2 linked regions of the Struthio camelus genome follow. Each later gene encodes a partner of the first gene's protein in a complex. Links are inferred from orthologs where the notes say so. Each region holds a gene or a part of one and is shown on either strand. Other genes may lie near its edges.

What was found. The genes of interacting proteins can lie anywhere in the genome.
Region 2: INTS6 (region 1) and INTS9 share a complex: the UniProt entries of both Homo sapiens proteins name them as parts of the integrator complex. The link is inferred for Struthio camelus from reciprocal best matches to the Homo sapiens genes INTS6 and INTS9.

The regions. Positions count from the first base shown.
Region 1 is NC_090942.1:193,679,033-193,686,798, reverse strand, and holds the start of INTS6 (integrator complex subunit 6), read left to right. Parts: upstream 1-4,467; 5' UTR 4,468-4,538; exon of another isoform or gene 4,539-4,890; 5' UTR 4,891-4,940; coding exon 4,941-5,051; intron 5,052-5,317; coding exon 5,318-5,395; intron 5,396-6,152; coding exon 6,153-6,302; intron 6,303-7,766. UniProt on the Homo sapiens protein: Component of the integrator complex, a multiprotein complex that terminates RNA polymerase II (Pol II) transcription in the promoter-proximal region of genes.
Region 2 is NC_090944.1:9,670,444-9,677,774, reverse strand, and holds the start of INTS9 (integrator complex subunit 9), read left to right. Parts: upstream 1-4,295; 5' UTR 4,296-4,373; coding exon 4,374-4,382; intron 4,383-7,331. UniProt on the Homo sapiens protein: Component of the integrator complex, a multiprotein complex that terminates RNA polymerase II (Pol II) transcription in the promoter-proximal region of genes.

The DNA of each region.
Region 1 (7,766 bases):
GTGCTCTTCAAGGACATATACTTTGATGATGAACAATAAATAAAATTAAGCAATAGAAAATTTAAGATCTTTATATGGGGAAAAAAAGTCTGAGTAGTGACAATCTACTAGGCTATGAAAGGGCCTTCTAAAGGAAGCTATGAAAAACTTACTCTGCGCCATTAAACTTGGGCTGACAAAGATCTTGAAATAATCTTCACGAAACAGTTCTGTATTGAGGAAGAGAAAGGCCAGCCAAAAAAAGAAAAAACAAAGTTATATTGCCAATTCTAGTTCCAAGATCCACTTGAAGGTTTTTAACATAACATCTTCCATTCAAGCCTGTTATTTAGGACAAAATAACGCTAACAATAAATGATGATATAGAAAAAGATGATTGCACGAGTATCAATTGGGAAACAAAAAAGTTTAAGGAAAAACTCAGTAATAGTAAATGATATCAAAATATTTTTCAAATGATTTTTTCAATATACATTTTCAAATTCATTGGAAGTTAAAGCCAAATTTGCATTTTTAATAGTTATTGTCTAACAGACAGTGGCCTCTCTGAAGGTGAGAAAATGAGTATTCTTAGACATGCACGTGTTTTCATAATCCCTCACGGATGTATGAAAAATAATAGAAACAAAATCTGTGTATGAAACAAGCTGGAAAATGAATAATTTCTACACCTTAAGTCTAAACTGATAATCTTATGCATTATCACTACAGCAAAAGTATTCCTTCAGACAGAGCTAGCTGAGACCATTCATCCAGATTTAAGAGAAAACATAGAACTGTCTCATTTACACTATACATGGGGTATAAATTTACCTACCATGTAAAAAAGCTGAAACCACAGAAAGATACATCTGTTTTCACAGGGATAGTCGCAAGCTCTCTCCCTGCTCACCTGTGTCAGCTCTACCAGTAATGAGCATAAGCACTAATATCACTAGGTTTTGTTCCTTCATAGCAAATCCCTTGTACAGATTTATAAATGTGACTCTGATGGCAGTACTACCCATTAAGACTCTCACATCAAGAGGCCGACAGGCACTTTAAGACTTGGGTTGATTATCTTTTCTTAAAAAGAATCTTTCTCAACATTAATCAAATTGGCCAGCTCCCAGTAGGAAAGTACTAATGCCTACCACAGGCAACACAAAACTAACCTTCATTCTGCCCTATAGGGGATCTAATATGGGTCTCATATGACATGCACAGGAGCAGGAAGGACCAAATGTTCCAAATTACTTCAAAGATAATGGCAAAAAAGTACATATAGAATTCACAAAGTGTTTTTGCTGGTAGAGGTCCCATTGGAACTGCATACAAGTTTCGTGCACGAGATTCTTTTATCAGTGGTAATCATTGGGTCCAAGGGAACTAGGGATAGAGTAGGTCCAGCTGCTTCAGTCCCACCTTCCTCTCGTGTTGGTAAGAGAAAATTACAGTGTGCCTACAGCTTGCAATTGTCATGCTGATTCAGAATTCACGGTAGGTTATGACTGATTCTACCACTAAGAGTTAATGTCTTTTCCCCTCTCTCTCTTCACTTACTGGTAATAAAAAGAAAAATCAGAAATTCCAAACGACCTTCCAGGATTTATGCAAAGTCTCCATGTCTCAGGCTGCCTTTCACAATGACATTTTCCTGGTGTGGCAGTGCTATAAAATGCCTTTACTTTTTTTTCCCCTCCCCCTACCTCTGGAGAAGGGTGCGTTCCAGAAGTTTCCCATTTTTACAACGCTCCTCGAGAAAATGCATAAGGCTTGGCACTTAAGAGTGACATTATTTTTATTTATTATTTTTATTTGGGTGGTCAATGAAACATCAGTGAAATAAAAATAGAAGAAAAGATGGCATGTCTGAAGAATGTGCCTATCTCAGAGATTTAAAGGGAAGCCAATTAGAGGCTGACAACACACACTTACCCAACATTACTCCCAAATGAAGCTACTAATCCCAAGGCACGATTTGTTAAAGCAGCATTATAGCCTTCACTTAACAACCTGAATCCCACCACTTTTGGGAGATGATTACTGGTCCTGCAGCAGCCAGCCTTGTTGACCTTAGGAGTGGCATACCTGAGAGCCAGAAGATACATGCCACTTTCCGTGGAGGGCCGAGGGGAAGCAAGGTGCTCCAATACAGATTGGCAGACAGAAGATAACTGTGAACCACGTTTCTCCAACAGTCCGAACGTTTTACTGCACAATGGGGCTAGGCATGCAGCTAGACTCCAGGGCAACCCAGCAATCCAGCCTCAGCAGCACCCGCTGGTTCACTTCCTCTGACAGCAGGGATTCAGATTAACCGGTAGAACCTGGACCAGAACAGCCTTGCTGCTGGTCACAAGACACACCACCACTGTTGGAGCTCTAAAATTGAACTGCTGGAAAGATGCAAGCTGCTCAAGAGCCAGCGAGTACACACAAGCTTGGCCACTCTCTCACTGCCAGCAAGATCCACACTGAGAAATACTCATAGCAAGAGATGTTACTTATTTGCCAACCCAGTTACCATATTTTGTCTGCACAGACTCCAAAGATCAAGACTCTTTCCTTGCTCCTGTGGAGCCCTTCACACTGGAGACTCCTTAGTGGCCTTAAATGGATAACTGAACTGAAAGGAAGCATCCCTCACTTCACCCCAATGCCTCAGGTCACAGATACAGCGCCGACAAGAAAGCCAAAATAATCTGCTCCCTGGCATAAGAATGCATACAAAGCTATAATGGAAGTATGATTCCTATCCCTCTCCAGCCTTCCTAGAAACTGAATGTTAATCTTTCATTAATCTTAAAAAAACAAAACAAAACAAAACGCCAAAAACAGCTCTTGTCGAACAAGACAGAAATCTTGCCTGGAAAAGCAGGATGAATCAAACCAGAACACTGCTGATATTTTCGTATTTTAAAGAGAAGGAAGGAGCACAGTGGCTTTAAACCTGCTAGAGCAGTGACTGGGAGAACACATCAGCTCGAGCTGGGGAAAAATATCAAGTCAGATAGGAAGCAGAGGCATCTCCTGAAGTGATTATGCTAAGAAACGACTTCAGAGTTAGCGCTCCAAGGTAGGAGAGCATAAACAGAGACACAATTGCTGGGGAAAGAAAAACCCCAAAACAACAACCAAGAGCAGAGATCTTCATCGTTGGAAACACTCCCCGATTATGTGATTGATCGGGAGTGAATGTGGAGCGCCCTGCCACAGATCAAAGAAACATTAGCGTTAATCTCCGTCTGTATGTAGGGGAAAGGGCCACTGCTAGGGCTAGCCAACGTTTATTTATTTATTTTTCCCTCCTCCTGACATCGAGTGAAAAGCCAGTGCAGGTCCCTGAGAAGGTACCATTTAAACGGTCACCTGCACCCTACAGCCACGGCATGTCGTGGACTGGGCAGGCACTGCGTGCCGGGCCCCCAAGCGCCAGCTCCCCCCGAGGAAGGGCCCCCCCCCGCCGCCCACCCCGGCCCCCAAGGCGGGGGCATTTCGGACCTCGGCTTTTCCGGCCTTCCCCCCTCACGGAAGGGGCAGTTTTGGCATCGGCACAGTTTAGAGGACCCCCACCCCACTAACCTTGGAAGGAACAATCCTTCACCACGCCTGAAGCGGGTGACGGGGGAAGTAAAGAAACGCCCCAAGGCAGGGCCGAGGGCAGCCGGCCGGGGCGGGGGGCGACTACCCCCGCCCCCGACGGGGGAGTCCCCCTCCCTCCTCTTCCTCCTTCCGGAGGAAGGCCGGGGGGGGGGGGGCTCCCCACGCCGCCAGGCCCCCCGCAAGACCTTCCTGCAGCCTCAAGGAGAAGCCGCGGCGGGCGCCGGGCGGGGGGCGGCGGCACCGCCCCCTCCCCCGTGACTCACCCGCCCGCTCCCGGCCGAGTCGAGCCGCCGGCGGCCCGCGCTCTCCCCGGGGCCTCCCCCGCCCTCTTCATCCCCGCCCCGGCCCAGCCTGGCGGCCGGCCCCAGTCAAGGGGCGGGTTCGGGTCCGTTACTACCGCGGGCAACCGCCGCCGCGCCCCGAGCCAGGCGGCTCAGCCGGGGCGCGTCGCCTCCGAGCCCGCCGGGCGAGGCGGTCTTCCCCCGTCCATGTGCCGCCACCCTTCTCCTTTTCCTTCCCACCGCCCCGGGTTTCATTTCAGTCGTTTCTCCCCCCTTCCCGCCCCGACCGTTTTCCGAGGAGCTGCGCCCCTCCCTGCACAGGGCTGTGTCACCCCTTCCGCCCCCCCCACCTCACCCCACCCCGCTCGCCGGGCACGGCAGCGCGCGTGCGCGGCGGCAGCGCCGAGGCGCGCGCGCGCCCCCGCCGCCTTCTCCCTCCGCGGCTCCGGCCGCCCCTCCTCCCGCTGATTTGAATATGCTAATGAGGGAGCTGCCCGGTGCCCTATGGCGGGGCCGGGAGGCGGTCACGTGGCGTGGGGACGTGTCTTTCGGGGGCGGGCCCCGACCTGCCCAGGCTGCCTTAAAAGCGGGCGGCGAGCGAGGAAGCGCCTCAGTCAGAGAGAGAAAGTGCCGGGGTGGTGGGGCTGCGGCTGCTCCGCCTGAAACTTCTGAGTAACATCAACAGGGGGAGGGGAGGGCGGGCGGCGGTGGAGGAAGGTGGAAGGCGGGGGGGGGGGGGGGAAGGTTAGCAGCAGCGCAGCCCTATCCGCCTCTCCCTCATAAACCAGCCTGTGTTGGGCTGAGCAGGCCCCTCACACAAAGGAGGGCAGGGCAGGCAGGGCTGCCCCCCTTCCCCCCCTCCTTGGGCGAGGGGCAGCGGGGAGGCGCCCTTCCCCGTGCAGAGCACTCACAGCCACTTACTCCTCTCCTGTCCCCCCCAACCCCGTCTTCTTCTTCTTCTCCTCCTCCTCCTCCTCCTCTTCTTCCCCTTTTCCTCCCACCCCGCCCCGTGGTCCCCCCTCAGCCCCCCGCCCTCTGTCCATGTAGCCGCCCGGCCGCCGGCCCCTCCGCACTATGCCCATCTTACTCTTCCTGATAGACACGTCCGCCTCCATGAACCAGCGCACCCATCTGGGCACCACCTATCTGGACATAGCCAAAGGCGCTGTAGAGACTTTCATGAAGGTACCGGCTCTGCCTTGCGAGAGGAGGCGAGAGAGAGCGAGAGTGACTGCGCGGGGAAGGGGAGGGGGAGGCAGGGCGCGGGGGGCCGCCGGGGCCGGGGGCGCGGGGCGAGGGCGGCCGGCCGGCCGGGCGGCAGTGCGTGTGTGTGCGGGCAGGGAGGGCCGGGCCGCACCGCTCCGGGCCGGGCCGGGGGGCTCCAAGGCGGGGGCCGCCCCGGCGCCGCTACCTCCGCGTTCACCCTCTCGCTTTGTCCGCCACCCCCGCAGCTCCGTGCCCGCGACCCGGCCAGCAGGGGCGACAGGTACATGCTGGTCACTTTCGAGGAGCCTCCTTACGCTATCAAGGTAACCCCCGTTAACCCTCCCCCCCACCTCCCCACACACATACCGCCCCCCCCACCCCGTTCCCCCGCCCCGTGCGGCCCCCGCGGCCGGCGCCGCCCGCCGCGCCTGGGCGCACACGCACGCTCGGGCTCCGGCGGCGGCGGCAGCGCTGACATCAACATGGCCGACATCCCCCCCCCCCCCCCCCGTGCGGTGCGCGAGCAGCAATGAACTGTGGGGGATATTTATTCGAGTTGGGAGAAGTGACAGCAACTCCGCCGAGAGTTGGGCCCGGGGTGGGGGGGGTCGGGAAGGGGAAGGGGAGGGGAAGGGAGGCCGCCCGCCTGCCCGTCGCGGCCCGTGCCCGGCGGGGGGCCGGGCGGCGGGGCGAGCACGGCCGCCGGAGAGCGCCGCGCAGCCGGCGAAGAGCCGAGCTGCCGTAGTTTGAAGAGCTGCAAGAAAGAGTTGGGCATGGATGACCTCACCGAGATTTCGTCCTGCGGAGAGAATCCAAAATACGGCTGGCAGGGGTGGGCTGCTACGATTTTTTTGTGTGTTTTTTTTTGGTTTTTTTTTTTCCTTTTCTCCTCCACGACGACGCGCTCGCCAGCCTGAGGGAGCAACCGCTAAAATATTGCTCGCTCGCCAGGCGTTTGGGTAGCCCTTGTCATTTGCTGTGTGCGGAGGGGAAAGCGCTGCTCTGTAGCCCCAGAGGAAAGCGTTATCCTGTGCACAGCTCCTGTCTGAAGGATACGTCTTCTCACGTTTCTCTTTTCAGGCTGGATGGAAAGAAAACCATGCAACGTTTATGAATGAACTCAAAAACCTTCAAGCTGAAGGACTTACGACTCTTGGCCAGTCCCTAAGGACAGCTTTTGATTTATTAAATTTAAATAGATTAGTAACTGGCATAGACAACTATGGGCAGGTAGGTTGACTATTAATAGGGGGAAAAATCATAAAAGACAAACTTTCCAGGGACAGCAGTTAACTAGTTGTCCAAAATGGCATCTTCATGAAATACTGAATGTGGGGCTTCTTCAAAAGAAAAACAGAGCTCAGGTAGCTTGAGGAAATGTGGTAGTTCACTGTTTTTTGTTTTTTTTTAATCCGACTTTCCTTTCTTATTTCAGTTATTCTTCAATTCTTAAACGCCAGCTTAGCCTTCAAGTTGACCTTTCAGTTAAACTTTGTCTTTTTTTTCATAACAAATTTTATGCTTCAGAACCTTAGCTGATAAGCCTGATGGGATTTGAAAACTTTTCCTTGCATATACAGTGCTGCATAATCAATTACAAGTAATTATAAAGTACACTCTGAGAAATGAGCTACTTTTTGAAAGGCACAGCATGTTTCAGAAATACTGAGTAGAGCATGTCTTTTTCAAAGTCATTTCTTTCTAGTGAGTTACTACTTTCTCTGAACACCTGTATTTTATAAAACTCCCTGCTGTATCAGAGCCTTGGAGCTGTGCTTTTCTAATGCCTGTGATGTGCTTTTCTAATGCCTGTCACTTTAAAGCAGGACATCTTTTGGGGTATTCCAACATTCTTTTGGTCAGTAGTGTGAGTTGCCATAAGCCAGTAACTTTACATTGAACATATGCTTTAGGAAGCATTCACAGTTGTATCTGGCACTGGATCAAACCTGGATTTGTTTTGCATCATAATGGACATGATTAGTATCAGGCAAGTATATTGTGCGTTTTTCACAGAAAACATACTAACTTGAATCTCCCCATTTCATTTGTTGCTCTCATGCAAAATGTTGCTCTCCTGTCTGTGGATTAGTTACTCCACTTGATAGTTAACATGGGTATGTGATTGTGAAAATAAGTCCCCTCCCTCCAAGTCTGAGCACAGTCTCTGTGATAACATGCCATATTTGTTTGGGAAGGAAATTCATCTCTCTCATGTTGCATTGTATGACTTTGCCACTAGGTGATCAAGTGAGCCTAAACATTTTTAAAATGCCAGTTTAGTGATGAAACTTTAAAAAAAAAAAAAAGTGCTACTTCTACACGTTGCTTTTTTTTCCTCTCTGTTCCCATTGCTCTCCTCTTATACGTCTGTGTGCTAATATCTTCTGCTTTCCATCTTTTTTGGTTCAGTTACATGAACTATACAAAGCTGTAACTTTACATAAAAATCAAGGCACACGCGTTAAATACTTTCCCTTTACCACTGGTATGGATGATGTTAAAATTCTAATCAAGTGAGCCAGTTGTGCTCAGCTCAGTTCACGTCATGACTGTTTTGACTGGTTAGTGTTCATTACTGCAAATAGCCGCTCTTGTCTGTATAGCAGTGGCTTTTTCTTTGTCTGGTTTGTTTTGTTTACCAGGCTCTCTCAGGGCTTGAACCCACCCTGGCTTATGTGTTTTAGTTGCTCT
Region 2 (7,331 bases), on another chromosome or scaffold:
CCTCTTCTTTCACAGTTGGAAGCACCCCTTAAAGTGGTTGATTTTAAATCCTAAACTTCCCAGAATATGAGAAGTATTTGCAACAAATTCCAACCCTGTACTGTGCACGTGTAATTCTGTAGTGGCTCTATGAGCTCTACACCAAAGTCACGGTAAAGCACAGGTTGCTTTCTTTAGATTAAAATGGGCTGTCATCTCTCGCAAGTCTGCTTATTTCTCATTTTTCAGTTTCATTAATTCTTCCAGTTCCCCTCCCTACCATCATCATACCCTGAAGACTCAAATACCATCACTGTCCCACTGACATACAAGAAAAAAAGAGCAGTCTTAAAAGTTAATGATAGAACTCTTGACATTATTTTATTAAAAACAAAATAAAAATAATTCAGAAAGAGAGAGTTACAAACCTCCTACTTCCTCAGCTCCTGCTATGAAGGAAAAAGCCGTATCAAATAGTTCCATGAACTTATGGATTATCACTATTAATTAAGCACTTCATAACAATTTAATTTTCAAAACACTGGACAGCCATGAACTCTCAATATCCCTTTGAAAGATACCAGTAAGATCCACGCTATAAATACGGAAAGAGCCTTAGAAGCGAGCTTTCTGAAGCAGACACTGGTTCCTAATTCCATGTGGAATTATCAGAATCACAATACTAGAGGGATGCATATTTTCTAGAAAGGTCAACAAACAGAAAGGAGTTGCTCAAGACTGCTTAATAAGTAGTTGTGGAGATAAGCAGGCCTCATCCACACAGGATTTTCTTGAAGATTTCCTTACCACTCTTTGTAAACCCTGCAGTTTCACCTACGGTAGCATTCCTATAAAACAGCTGGCAGACTGCATACCACAATGTCGTCTAGACCTGCTCTGAACAGAGTTGGATGACACAGTCGTAAAAATGCTGATGCCTGTTCTGGTGCTCGCACCGATGCTAAAGGAACGATAGGAGGAAGGACAGACACAGCTAGGTAAAACACAAGTTTCTTGTTCCTAGGCTCATCAGACGATTCTGTTAGCCACACAAAAAAGTTGTGGCTGTCACGGGGTTAAACAAGAATTTTCATATAAGAGAAAAGACACAGCATTCCCAAATCCCAGGATCACGGTTTACACACGCAATATCAAACCCCACTCTTCAGAGAGCCCAGTGCTCCTAGAACATGCAGATAACAAATGCATCCCAGCCTTATATTCTTCTATCCATCTCCCATTTCTCCCCTACTTCCCTCCCCAACCTGTATCTCAGAAATGTTTTCTTCACAATTTGGAAGAGAAATGGCAAAAAGAGAGATGCAAAATGTAGACTTAAATTAAGTTTGCTCTCTGCTGTTGAAGGATTTGGCCCAGGCGTGACAGGAGGAAAAAAAACGTTAAGAGTGATAAATCCATATATACCTACTCCAAACTACACCCGACATCCCAAGAGACATGGTATAATGGTAAATAAATATAGATGCAGTTCCTACTAATGAGGCAGGGTACAGCAAGGCCAAAGAAAATGCAATCATCTCAGGAAAAAAAACTGCACAGGACTCCTCCTCTCCCATCCATGGAGGAAATCAAATGCCAGCTGCACCATCCCAGGAAGGAAGCAGAGTCCGTACCTGATGAGCCCTGCAGAAATGAGCTAGTCACATATCATGGGACGCAGGCGGGCACTTCAGGGTTTTGCAAAGCCCACAAATTATCTGCCTAGCACAGGCCATTTCTCCAGTATGGTATATTTTACATGCTCTCATTCATGCAAATTGTAGTTTTTCCACCAGTTTCCTTCTCCTCCATCCCCATTAGTTTGAAGCAGGGGCACGTAGCCAGCGTCTATCAGAGCTGCTCGGACCGTGTTCTCAACCGCGTGCCCTGGCCATCAGCTTAACGCTTTCTTCCCTGCCAAGTTTAAATCTTCCTAGCTTTAGTTCATACACGTTTTGTACTTAAAGCCACTTATCCGTACCTCTAACGTTACTTAAGCTTGAGAACAAATTAAGATATACCTGACTCTACGAAGAGCAAACAGGCTTGCAATCTTCATTTCCTCTTCCTCTTTCCCTCCCCCCTAAAAAAGCATTTTTTTCTTCCCTATATATGAGGGGGCAAGGAAAAACAGTACACATGATCAAGGGTTTTTTTTTTTTTCAGAGAACAAAAAAGCCAAAAAGAAAAAAAAAAAGGTTTCCAAAAAAGTGCTCTGCAAACATACCAAGAGATACTCTTTAAAACAACTAAAAAAAACCCATCAGACGAAACTGAGCCTGGAGAACTCAGCGCAGTCCGCCTCGCGTAGGTTTCGCCCGTAAAAACACTCGTGGCTCGTGTCACTTTACCCCCCCGAAGCAGCACGAAACAGTTCAGCAGCGTTCCCCACCGCTTCTTCCAAACCGTCTGGGGGTCAAACCCACTCTTCTCCCGAAGAAGATCGCAGACAGCAAGAACGTTTACGCCTCCCCCGCCCCAAAATCTCCAGAAGTACAAAACCACCACGCGTACGACACCCCACCCAAGCTCTCCAAGCACATTTGGGGAACGACTTCCCTCCGGGTCCTCCTCCTCCCCCACCCACGTTAAAACTCTCCAGCAACAAGACACCCTCCGGGTTCACGCCTTGTCCCCCCCCCCCCAACCCCGGCAAAGCGCCGGGAGCAGCAACAGATCTGCCCGTCGCCGGCGGGGGCCCCCTCTCCCCTTCTCACCCCCAGGGCTTAACCGCCCCCCCCCCCAAAATAACCCCTCCGCTGGGGGGGGGGGGCGATCCGCCTCGCACACCTTCCCCCTCCGGCCTCCCCCCTCAACCCCGAGGTAACTGCTCGGCCAAAGTGCTGCCGAGCCGGGCCAGCACCCCCCCCTACACCCCGCCCGGAGGAGGGGGGGGGGAGGAGGAGGAGGGTTGGGGGGGGCCCTCGCCGCCCCCTCTCACAGGCGACGAGGCGGCAGCAGCCCAACCCCGGGCTCCAACTCCGGCAGCAAACAAACAAAACAAAACACACACTCACATTCCCCCCCCCCCCCAAAAAAAAAATAAAACCCCACAAAAATAAACACACCCACCCAGCCCGAGGGGACTCTGCCACCGCGAGTTCTTCCCTTCCCACCCAAGGAGGGTGGTGGTGTGTGTGTGTGTGGGGGGGGGGGTAAATAAATAAATAAATAAATGGAATGAAATAAAAATCCCAGGGAGGAAAATGGAAGGGCTCCTCTCCCGTTTTAAAAAACCTTCCGAGGAGAAGCGAGAGGCTGCCCTGCCCTCCCTCAGCAGCCCCCCCACCCCAGGCTCCAAGGGGCACCTTCCTCCGCCGCTCCGCGGCTTCAAGGAGACGAGGAGCCACCCAGCTCCGCGGCACAAAACTCTGCCGGCGACAAGCGGCGCGGGCTGAGGGGCCTGGCCCGGCCTGGCCTGCCTTGGCCCGGCCTGCCCCACCCGGCCCCCCCCGGGCTGCCCCCTCGTCCACGCACCTCCTGCGCTGCCAGGGAAGCCGCTCGCCCGCACGGCGCGACTGCCCCACAGGCAGCCTCGGCGCTGGCTGAGGCGGGGGTGGGGGGGACCCTGCGCCCTCCCTCCCCTCCCCTCCCTCCTTCCAGCCCACCCACCCACCCGCCCCCTCCCCTCGCCGCCCCTACTCTCTCCCTCCCTCTTCTTCTCCCCGGCCCCACACTTTCCTCCTCCCCACAAGTAACACTCACCTCTGGATCCGGGCTCCTGCGCCACCTCACCATTGAACAGCGGGAGAGGGGGGGGGGGTCCCCTCCCTGCCTGCCTCCCCCGCCCCGGCCTGAGGGGGAGCTTCGCGGGGGTGCACAGGGACGAGAACAATGCGGGGGGGGAAAATCCCTCGGCTGCCAGATCCCCCCCCCTCCCCAACCCCCCCCCCGAGGGAAAGAGCACCCCTCACCCCGTCTCTCTCTCTCTCTCCTTCTATCTTTCCCTCTCGCTTGCTCTCTCTCTCTCTTTTTTTTTTTTTTTTTGGCTCAATCACACCAGACTGACTGTCTTTGTCTGTCTGACAAGCGCCATGTTGATATCAACATCCAAGCTCCCACCTGCTGCCGCTGTGAGACCCTGGGACTTGTAGTCCCCCCCTCCCCAGGGTGACGGGGAGAGCCGCGGTCCCAGGACTACGACTCCCAGCGTGCCTCGGGGGCACGGCGCGCCGGCGGAGCGCGGGGCGAAGCGCGGAGCGGACTACCACTCCCGGCATGCCTCGGGAGAGGAGGGCAAGGTGGAAGAGGGGGGCCATGACTTCATCCTGGGCGGGCGGCCGGACTTCAAGTCCCATGATGCTCTGGGGCGGGGTGGGGTGGAGGGGGGGCTAGGCAGGAAGCGGGGTGGGGGGGGGGGCAGGATTGTCCCAGTAAATAGAACCGGGTAAAGCATGAAGCTGGTGAGTCCGTGTAGTTAGGGGGTCTGCGGGGGGGGCCTGCTTGGGGGACGTAGGTAAGGGTGGGAGGGGGGGGCCGCCATGCGGGAGATCGTGGCGTTGTGGGGGGAGGGCGGCCTCAGCCCCCCGCTCCGCGATCCGGCCGGTGCCGGCCCGGCAGTGACCGTTAAACGGTCGTCGGGGAGCCGCCGGGGAGGCACCTGCGCGTGCTAAGGGGCCTAGGCCTGAGCAACCGGCTCTCCCTCTCCTTCCTCCGCCACCCCCGGCCGCTCACCCCGCCGGTGGTTTTAGGGGCTCTCTGCGTTTTGGGTTTTAGATCAGGTTAAGCGGTAGCGGGATTTGGAGGGAAGAGCTGTTTCTTCATATCCTCCTTGAACGTGAACCTCGGCTTGGAGCAAGACAGGAGCTAGCCCGTTGCACGTGTGGCTTCCGCTAAATTACTCTAGAAATATTAATAAATCTCCATGGTTCATAGCAGAGGTCATATCCATGTTTTATAGTTATTATGATAGTCACGCAAATAAGTACTCAGAAGAAAATCATCCTGGAATAGCTTTGTCAAGGGCGCGCTATGATTATGACAGATATTTTGCTTTCAATAGTATAATGTTTTAAAGGGAAGGTTATTAGAAAAGGCATCACTCCGTGTTATTGATACCCACTGTATAAATCTCCTTTTTCAACTATTTAAGTTTTCCAAGGTATTTGGATTCAGCCACTGATTTATTGTCCGCTCAATATGCTGCAGTTCTTTGGAAATGAAAAATGAAACAGCTTTCAAAATTTCTGAGCATTACATTTGATTTCTTTAACTTAAAGTTACACTACTATTAAACCTGTTTTAAGGAGAGACCGATTGTCTCTCCGTTTTGAAACTCTGCAGTTTGTCTTGAGAAAGCTTCATAGAAGTGGACCTGGATTCTGGGCTTCTTTTGTGACTTCTGGTAGATCACTGGCTGTGGCTAACTGTGTAAAATTAGTTCAGTAGACAGGTGGCTGAAGAGCTTGATCCTGCATAATCTTACGTATGTGATTAAGTCTCTGTGTGTGCATGAGTACGACCAGTGGGACAAACTGTGCAAAGCTAAGCAGTTCTCTACATGACTGTAAAGATCGATATAAGGCACAACAAAAAGCAAGCTGAGAAATCTCCAAATGAAAACCATAGTGGAAATGCAGAATTCTTTGTTCTATCCAGCCACTGAGAAGCAAAACCCATCCTATTCTTGTACGAGGGCAGAGAGAGGGAAGAAGTGGGAAAAATGCAAGCTATCTGAAATCTATATTGTAACAGTTTTAGACCTGCTTACAAACTTGGAGGTCAGGAGCATAAGACCAGGTTCTTCATCTTGTGTTTGTCTGGAGTTGTGCCTGAAACTTGGGGTTGTGGAGGTAGGAGTTGGGATGGTATTTCATCCTCTTTTGTCATATATTTAGTCTGAATTTGGAAGAACAGGATAGAGGAAACAAGTCTCTGGACCTGATTCGGAATCCAGTGCAAATGAGAGACTCCCACAAATTCTAACGTGCTTTGATTCGGACAAATCCAGTTGCAAAATTCCCCCTAGACTTTAGGCTAGCGTGTGATAACATTGGAAAAGCATTGCAGTCTATGTTGGCTTCAGTTGTAATTCAAAGCACTGGCTTTAACCTGCGAAATCTTCAGTATTTTGGAGTGGCTAGTTTGAGACATCATGTCTTTTCTCTGTCACATTGCCATATATGAGATCACCAGAGACACTCAGAGCTGGCAAGTGCTCAGCTTGAACCAGCTGTCTGCTGAGAACCTTTCTCTATGAGGGTTTTAGTATTTGGAATTAACCCCTCGTCTTGGTCTCTTTGCGCCCCACTCAAGATTTTCATCAGATTTTCATCAGATTTTCATCCAATTTACAAAGCCTGCTGAGAAAGTTGTGAGCGGAGATGGGCGTATTTATAGTATTTTGTACATATTTTGTGAGCTTTTTCCACTGCTATTTTTTAATTACGAGTATAAGTACCTGTTGTGTTAGCTGCGCTAACCTTCAGTCATAATGGAAGAAAGATAGAAGAAAGCAAATATTAGTGCAAAAAGGACTTGTCTTTTAGTCAGATCAGGAATATTAGATCTCTGGATCTATTTTAAGCGGTAACAGCTATAATCTGTGTGGGAAATAGTCCGTCACATTTATAGTACATATAGAGATATGTATAATGCAGGCATTAGAATTCCTGAATTCTTAAACAAAAATTCTAATTGTACAGGCCCCGAAATACCACATGTGCAAATAGCTGTATAGCATATATGAATTACTTTATGGTTTTTTGGTCGCTTTACATGAATTGAAAGAAAGAATCCACTGACTCTCAGGAATCCACTTACCACAGCTTGACAGCAAATATAGATTATTGTAGATGCTGTTAAGGAAGAAAAGAGGAAGATTTTCCAGTTAGCTCGCAAATGTCAGGGTCATGATCCTATTCATGATTTAAAAAAGAGCAAGAGAGTGCTTTGCTGATAAAAGTGGTGATATTTTATTGCTTTTTTAATTAGCGATAGTTTAAAAGCTATAAAAATAGTTAAGATCCCCCCCCCATTTCTTTCTATTTACTTCAGTTGTACCTTCAGCTGTCAAAGTTCTGGTGTGGTGAAAACATAATTTCGCATGTGTATCTTGCATTCACAAAAGAAGCAGCTGAATTCCTTACATATATATAAGGAATACATATATGCATATGCATATATGTATACCATATGGTATACATTCATATGGTATACATATTCCATACCTATATCCCTTACTCACCAGCTTGGTTTCTTAAGGTTTTCTTAAATTATGCTAACAGCAGGCAAACATAATGTTGCTTGTTAATAATTAAGGCTTTATGAATTTTAAAACAAAAGTCTTTGTGATTATTTTGAATGTACTATTTGGGGTTTAATAGCTTTTTAGCATTTAAATATAACTTAAA